2 linked regions of the Macaca fascicularis genome follow. The protein of the gene in region 2 purifies or fractionates together with the protein of the main gene of each other region. This does not show direct contact. Links are inferred from orthologs where the notes say so. Each region holds a gene or a part of one and is shown on either strand. Other genes may lie near its edges.

Region 1 (3,813 bases), on a different chromosome or scaffold from region 2:
TGTTTTTTACAGTACTTTAGTTCATAAATTGTAGTTCATATACAAAGAGCAAATAGCCAATTTAAATCCAGTTTTAAATGCTGACGTGCCCCATAACCCCAAAATCTAAATTTCCAAATCAGTAAGTTATTTTCTTGTTAATGTTACTGCCGCCCACACAAACTAATTCTAGGTCAACGAAAAAACAGAGAGGATAGGACAAAAGAAAGTAATAAGAAACAGATTACCTACCATTACTCTGCAGTGTTAATCCTGAGAGATCTTAATTGTATAAAAGGGAAAACAAATGAAACATTAATCATTACAATGAAAATATTTTCCATTTAACAGAGAATGTCAAGTTAAACCAGAGATTACAAAAGTTCATGAACTATTTCAATTCAGAAGTAGCATAAACACTATCTAACAATACACATACTAAGTATTCAAATTTATAATGCTTTCCATCTTATTTCTCAAAAACAATGTTCTAAATGGGCAAAATATGAACTATAATACTTGGTTTTAGCAGTCAAAATATAAGTTTGTTCCTAAGTTCAAATTAAAACACGTATATTAAAAATGTCTGATTCTTTAACCTTATTTAAAGTCGTGGGCTATCTTCCAAATTTATAATTTAACTTACAAAAATTAAAACACTATTGAGATCCTTTTCCCTTTATGTTTCTTAGGATAAAAGCAAAGTCTACTTACCAATTCCAGGTGATACAACTCGTTCATAGTGATATGGATTCACACAGACACTATCACATTTTAAGTCAAATGCATACTGACAATATTTAACATGTTTTAGTTCATTTTTGTGAAGATCAGGCCACCTCCAGAGACGGGCATAGATCACATGAGGAAATCCTTTCCGGCCAGCCACCTAGAAAAATAAACGACCATTTATTCATCTGTCACATTATGCAAGACACTTTTATATATATTCTGATTTAATCCTCACAATCCTACCAAGTCAGTATTACAATCCCCACTTCATAAATGAGAAAACTAAAATTCAAAATAACTAACTTGGCCATGTCATGCATCAGACCTGTAATTTAAACCTTGGTATAATTTCAAGGCCTGTGTTCAGGTTTTAAAAATGCAAAAAGTGGCTGGGCATGGTGGCTCACACCTGTAAGCATATCACTTTGGCAGGCCAAGGCAGGAGGATCGCTTGAGCCCAGGAGTTCATTACCAGCCTGGACAACATGACAAGGCCCTTGTCTCCACAAATAATAAAAAATTACCCAGGTATAGTCATATGTGCCTGTAGTCCTAGCTACTCAGGAGGCTAAGGCAGAAGGATTGCATAAGCCCAGTAGGTAAAGGCTGCAGTGAGCCATGTTTGCACCACTGCACTCCAGCCTGGGCAAGAGTGAGACCATGTCTCAAAGAAAAAAAAATGAAATAAATAAATATTTAAAAAGACTGTGTTGTAGAAACCATGTATAAAGTCTTGAAATAAAACTTTAAAATCTAAGACATAAAATGTCTGTAAGATTTATTTCAGCAAGGGAGATTATGAAGTTCTACCTGAAAAATGTGATCAATGAAACATTTGGTAACAGTGAAACATATCAGATTTCTAAATTATAAAAAGACTAAGTGTAATCCAATTGTTTAAATGTATATACGATATCAAAAAAGAAAGCAACATGGCTGGGCACGGTGGCTCACGCCTGTAATCCCAGAATTTTGGGGGGCCAAGGCGGGTGGATCACCTGAGGTCAGCGGTTTGAGACCAGCCTGACCACCATGGTGAAACCCGTCTCTACTAAAAATACAAAAATTAGCCGGGCGTGGTTGCACTCGCCTGTAGTCCCAGCTACTTAGGAGGCTGAGGCAGGAGGATTGCTTGAATCTGGGAGGTGGAGGTTGCAGTGGGCCAAGATCGCACCACTGTACTCCAGCCTGGGTGACAGAGCAAGACTCCGTCTAGGGGAAAAAAAAAGAAAACAACAGGCTACAAAAATGAAAACCAAAGTGCTAAAGGTAGTTCTTGCAAAGTGTGGGTTTTCTTCTGCTTTTTATTTTTATTTTCCAAATTTTCTCCATTGAACTTTTTTCTGATAGAACATTAAAAAACTTTAAAATTTTGTCTTTTGCGGCCGGGCGCGGTGGCTCAAGCCTGTAATCCCAGCACTTTGGGAGGCCGAGACGGGCGGATCACGAGGTCAGGAGTTCGAGACCATCCTGGCTAACACGGTGAAACCCCGTCTCTACTAAAAAAAATACAAAAAACTAGCCGGGCGAGGTGGCGGGCGCCTGTAGTCCCGGCTACTCGGGAGGCTGAGGCAGGAGAATGGCGTAAAAACCCGGGAGGCAGAGCTTGCAGTGAGCTGAGATCCGGCCACTGCACTCCAGCCTGGGCGACACAGCGAGACTCCGTCTCAAAAAAAAAAAAAAAAAATTTTTATCTTTTGCATATTCTTCCACAAATTCCCATAACGCGTATTTGTACAGGATGCACAGTATCTGAAGAGATGGAGCATGCATTAAATTACCCTGTAGTAGAGCTTGAAAGGAAACTTAGCAAGTTTTTAAATCTGCCAACACAGAGGGTATAGAAAAACTCTTGTAAGACTAACCTGAAGCCTCCCATCCAATGTTCTCTGTATGGTAACACATTTACTAGGATGAGCTCCATTTGTAGTTATAGCTGTTATTAAAGAATCCAATTCATCTTTTTTCTCCTTCAGCTTCTTTACCAAACTTTCAATTGCTCTTTTTGCAAATGTTTCACTCTCTCCACCTTGTCTATGGCACATCAAACTATGCACAATGCTCAGACAGGCATCATTACTTGTTGGTGTATTCGTAATAGACATATTGTCCATTTGTTCAAGTTTTTCCTTTTAAATCAAATATGTCTCCAATTTCTGGAGCAATTTTGATCTTTTGGAAACAGTGAAAAACAACAGCTAAGGTTGCAAGGAAAATTGTTAGTCATGTATTCAGGATAACCTAAAAAAGAAAAAAAAAAAAAGACACACATGAGAACACATTTCACGAAGTAGAGGGAAAAAATGAAATTGCTCTGGTTAAGTAAGAGATTCAATGCACATAATTAAAATTTGATGCTCAGAGTTGAAAATTACTTAAAATTCTTATAAAATATTAACCATTAAAAATAATTTTAAAAAATAAAATTACTTTATTGTCACTGTTTTTGACATTCCAAAACTATTAAAGTTAGGTCTTCTCATTATGATAGTGGCACACTCAATCAAGTCTTACTGACTTTACTAGTCACCCTAAAGGAAATCTCACCAGCACTTTTTTAAAGGATTACTTATGAGGAACAGCACTAGTTAAACCTAAAAGTCTATTACTAATATTTATGAAAAATTTACCATCCCCTGATATTAAATGCTACCTAGCAGTTAACACTCACCTTTGTTAAAAGAGACTGATAAAAAAAAAATTTTTTTAGAAATGAACAAATGGATTCTAAAAGATACTTCTCCAAAGATGGTAGCCAGTAAGCACATGAAAGATGCTCAACATTAGACATCATGGAAATGAAAATCAAAACCACAATGAGCTACCACTTCATACCTACTGAGATGGATAAATCAAAAAGACAATAAGTACTGAAGAAGCAGAGAAACTGGACCCTCATTCATTGCTGCTGGGATTACAAAATGGCACAGGTACTTTGGAAAACAGTCTGGTATTAATACAAAATGTTAAACAGAGTAAATATGACCCAGCAATTCCACTCTTCATACTTCTACTTGAGGGAAATGAAAACCTATGACCACACAAACCTGTACATGAATGTTCACTGCAGCGTTGTTCATAATGGATACAACTCAAATGTCC
Region 2 (3,813 bases):
ACCTCACTTGGAAGCCCAGCCCCTCCAACCTAACCTCACAAAGTCCCAGGGCTGTAGGTGGGAGAGGAATGGCGGCCAGTTCCCCTTCCCCACACCCCCATTGACCCTGCCTCCCGGGGCAGGGGAGTGGGGCCAGCTGGCACCCAGTGGACTGAAGCGTGCCAGAGAGGAGCCCTCAGGCCACAGCAGGGACCAGGCAGGTCGCTGGGTCAGCAGGGTGGGAGGGGGCGTGCAGAGGCTTCCTGAACCTCGCGGCCTTGGTCCCGTTCCCTGCTGCGGGTCCATGCCTGGTGCCCATCACGCACCCACCCAGCAGGCACTCCCACGTTTACTGCACTCCGACGTCTACTGCGCGACGTTTACTGTGAAGGAAAGAGTGGGGGCAGGGGAAGGGAGGCAGGAAGAAGAGACCTCCAGGCACACAGAGGACCTGGTAAAATCTGAGCGCCTTGGGGCACAGGTCCGCAAAAGGCCCAGGATGTTCCGCTCCCTAACTGGGAGTCCCAGAGGCTGCACACTCTCCCTGCCCTGGGGGCTGGGGCTGCTCTGGCCTCCCTGGCCCTGAGCTCAGGGCTATGGTTGAGGCAGAGACCGGGCTTGATACCCACCTGCAGCCTGAATGGTCACGGCTGCTGGGAGGCGCCAGGGGCCTGTCCACACTGCTGCGGGCTGCGAGGTCCTGACACACTCCTGCTCAGTCAGTGCTTGCAGACAAAGACATGAGAGAGAGAAGCGTGGAGCCCAGCACCTCTCCTCTGCCTGGGATCGCCCTGAGCCCCCAGCACGCCTGGTGCGCACAGCCTGGCAGTGACCTGAGCCCGCTGACCAAGGCCATACCTGCAGGCTGCCAGCGAGGAACCAGAGCCTGGGGGAAGGAGGGAAGGCCGATGCCACTGGCCAGCCCCCTTTCCATGGGGAATAAGCAGGGAAACCAGGTTCCCAGGTGACCCTGGTCACCCTTGGCCCTGGCAGTCACAGCCTGGTGTGGTCCCTGCCTGTGCCACAGAGTCTGTGAGCAATGGACTCCATGGGGGAGACGGCAAGGCGTGTCCGAGGCTGGGTCATAAAAAGGGCTCCAGCTCCCAGCTGGACGTGCACGCTCGCTACCCTAGGGTGAGGGAGCCACCAGGCTGAGGAAGCCCGGGCAGCCCGTGCAGGAGGCCGCACAGTGAGGACCTGGGGACGACGGCCAAAAGCCGGTGAGGAGCTGCAGCCTGCCAGCCACCACACGAGGAAGTGGCTGCTCCAGCCCTGGTCGAGCCTCCGGATGAGGTGGCTCCGGCCTGACTGAGCCTCATGAGAGCCCCCGAGCCCCAACGCCCCGCAACGCGGCTCGCTGGTTCCTGAGAGCTAACAGACGCCCACTGCTCCATTTCAGGGTAACTTGTACCACAGCAAGGGGTGACCAATATCAAAGATGGTCCCTTTGCTTCCAGGGAAGGACAGCCCTGGCCACCGTGGCTCCCACCCTGGCCGCGCCAGAGAACATCACCAAAGGTGGGCTGCGTGGCTGGGCTGGGCGACAGGGCCTAGGTGAGGCCTCCCGTCGCAGCCTCCCCGGGGCGGCCACTCACCTAACTCGGTGGGCTTCAGCAGCTCGTCCAGCATGTTAAAGAAGGGCAGCTTCACCAGGCGGACTTCTGGCTTAAGGGTCTTGGCGGGTAACCGTCCCAGTCCGTTTAAGTACTTCCCGTAGAGCACGGGGTAGTCAATATTGGGGCCTGCCAGCGGAGTCCTGGGCACAGCGCCGGCCCGGTCGTAGGTGGAGTGCATGGTCAGGGGGTCCAGGGGCCGGTGCGGCTGCTGGGCAGGCTCCGAGTTCTTCTTGGCGTAGCGGGTCTCGTACAGCTCCTTGATCTTTTTGAACAACTCGGGGCTACAGTCAAACTGCACCAGCTGGAGGGCCCTGGTGACGAGCTCGTGCTTCAGTCCGCTCTTACTCCGGCCCACGAAACCCAGGAGCATCTGAAGGTCGGAGACTCGAAAACTCATCACCATGTTCTGAGGAGGAGCAAGCACACACAACTCAGAAGGCAGAGCTGCGAGGCAGGGGACTCCGCAGAGGCCAGGCCCTGAGGCGGGGGCCGTGAGAGACACCCACTCGCCAGGAAGCGCCAGCCTTGGCTGGGGCTGGTGGAGTGCCCTGCCCCTACGGTGCCCCCTCCCAGCAAAGCCCTGCCCCCTCCCTCCTCCTCATCAAACTTTCCCCAGCATCGCCAACGCAGCAAAAGCGCCTCTGACTAGGCCCCCCTTCTATTTTAGGTTCTCTTTCCCTGTCTTCAGCCTGAAAGCATCCCCAGGGCAGGAACTGGGAATCGTGCTTTACTTGTAAACGGCCTCTGCCAGTGCCTTGCCGACAAACACCAAGTGCCTCTCTGACCCTCAGTCTCTTCGTCGGGAGGATAATGACATAAAGCACTGGCTGGGCGGGCGCTCAACCCTTGTCAGCCACAGACATGTTTTCCCTTCGGTCTCGCCAACGGTAGCCACAGTTTACTTAGCACTAATCACCTGCCGGGAACCAAGTCGGTCATGTGATTATATATTTAACTCTGATCCTTAAAACACCCCTGCTAGGCTGGTGTGTGAGCTCTGTCACAAAAGAACTGTAGGCTCAGAGGTGGCAGTGCCAAGATTCAAACCCAGACCTGGCTCTGAAGCCAGGGGCGGTCCCTGCTGCCACACTCTCCTCCGGACAGCAACACAGGGCCGGGCCTGTGGGGGCCTCCGAAACGTCTACCCATCATTCCAGCAGGGTTTCGTCCCCTCGGCCCTGTGGACGCTGGGGCCGTCCCGGGCACTGTGGGGTGCTAAACACCCACAGTTCATGACAACCAAATACATCTCCAGACATCGCCCTGAGTCCCTGGGGGACTGGTCCGAGGGGAAGGCAGCAGCCACAGGGGCTGTTGCGGGACCTGGGCCAAAGTGACGAATGAGGCTTGGCAGGACCTGGCCCTCATCCCCCGACAGTACCTCTCCAGCAAAATCAAACCAAACAACAGAGCCCAGCTGACCCTAGTGTTTGATGTGGGGTAGCCTGGCAGTGGCCTCCCCTCCATGAGGGGTAGGACCATGAAAGGGAAAGAGGGCTCAACAGGCTGCAGAAGCCAGGTGTCCTCGAGGGATGGGCTGGCAGGGTTTCGGGGCCACCCACCCTCAGCCCTGAAGCTGGCCTGGGATGAATGAGATGTGGTGGGAAAGAGAAACTTCCAGGAGGAATGGAGAAAAAGCTCAAGTGTCAAGGGTGGTAAGCAAAGCTGGCAGGCACCCGAAGAAACCAATAAGTCATCCAAACTCCACTCGAAAGACCCTGAGGGTCAAAGCCAGAGGCAGTCCCACTGGAGTGTCTACACTGCGGCCTCCGTGCCAGGAAGTGCTGGGGTTTCCAGCTCCCGGCTGCCCCAGGGTGAGGCCAGGAGCCTAGCCGCCCATTTCAACACCAAGGCTGCAGCAGCCGGGGCCGCTGGCGGGGTCCTCATCTGTCAACTCTGATTCCTTCCAGCTGTACCAGGCCAGGATCCTGCTGGAGACGAAGAGGCTGTCCCGGCTCAAAACGACAGGGACGCACGTGTGGGTGGCCCAGTCCTGCCCTAAGAGCCTCGGGAGAAGCCTCTTCCCGTATCAGGGTTGCGCGGCCCCGTGACCGTGAAGAACCGGGATGCCAGCGTCTGCTCCCTGCCAGGCACCAGCGAGGCCTATGTCGCTAATTTCACAATGACCACACCCATCGTGTAGGTGAGGAAACCGAGGCTCACAGAGAGAAGTGGCTGGCCCAGAGCCTCCCTAGTACATGCATGGGACTGGCATCAG

What was found.
Region 1: the proteins of PIAS4 (region 2) and SMAD4 purify together in Homo sapiens (affinity purification with western blotting, with the first as the bait; 3 studies listed by BioGRID). This does not show direct contact. The link is inferred for Macaca fascicularis from reciprocal best matches to the Homo sapiens genes PIAS4 and SMAD4.

Annotation. Positions count from the first base shown.
Region 1 is NC_088392.1:38,677,653-38,681,465, forward strand, and holds part of SMAD4 (mothers against decapentaplegic homolog 4), read right to left. Parts: intron 2,953-3,813; 5' UTR 2,826-2,952; coding exon 2,577-2,825; intron 869-2,576; coding exon 694-868; intron 262-693; coding exon 232-261; intron 1-231. UniProt on the Homo sapiens protein: In muscle physiology, plays a central role in the balance between atrophy and hypertrophy. When recruited by MSTN, promotes atrophy response via phosphorylated SMAD2/4.
Region 2 is NC_088393.1:4,740,468-4,744,280, reverse strand, and holds part of PIAS4 (E3 SUMO-protein ligase PIAS4), read right to left. Parts: intron 2,002-3,813; coding exon 1,575-2,001; intron 705-1,574; coding exon 609-704; intron 1-608.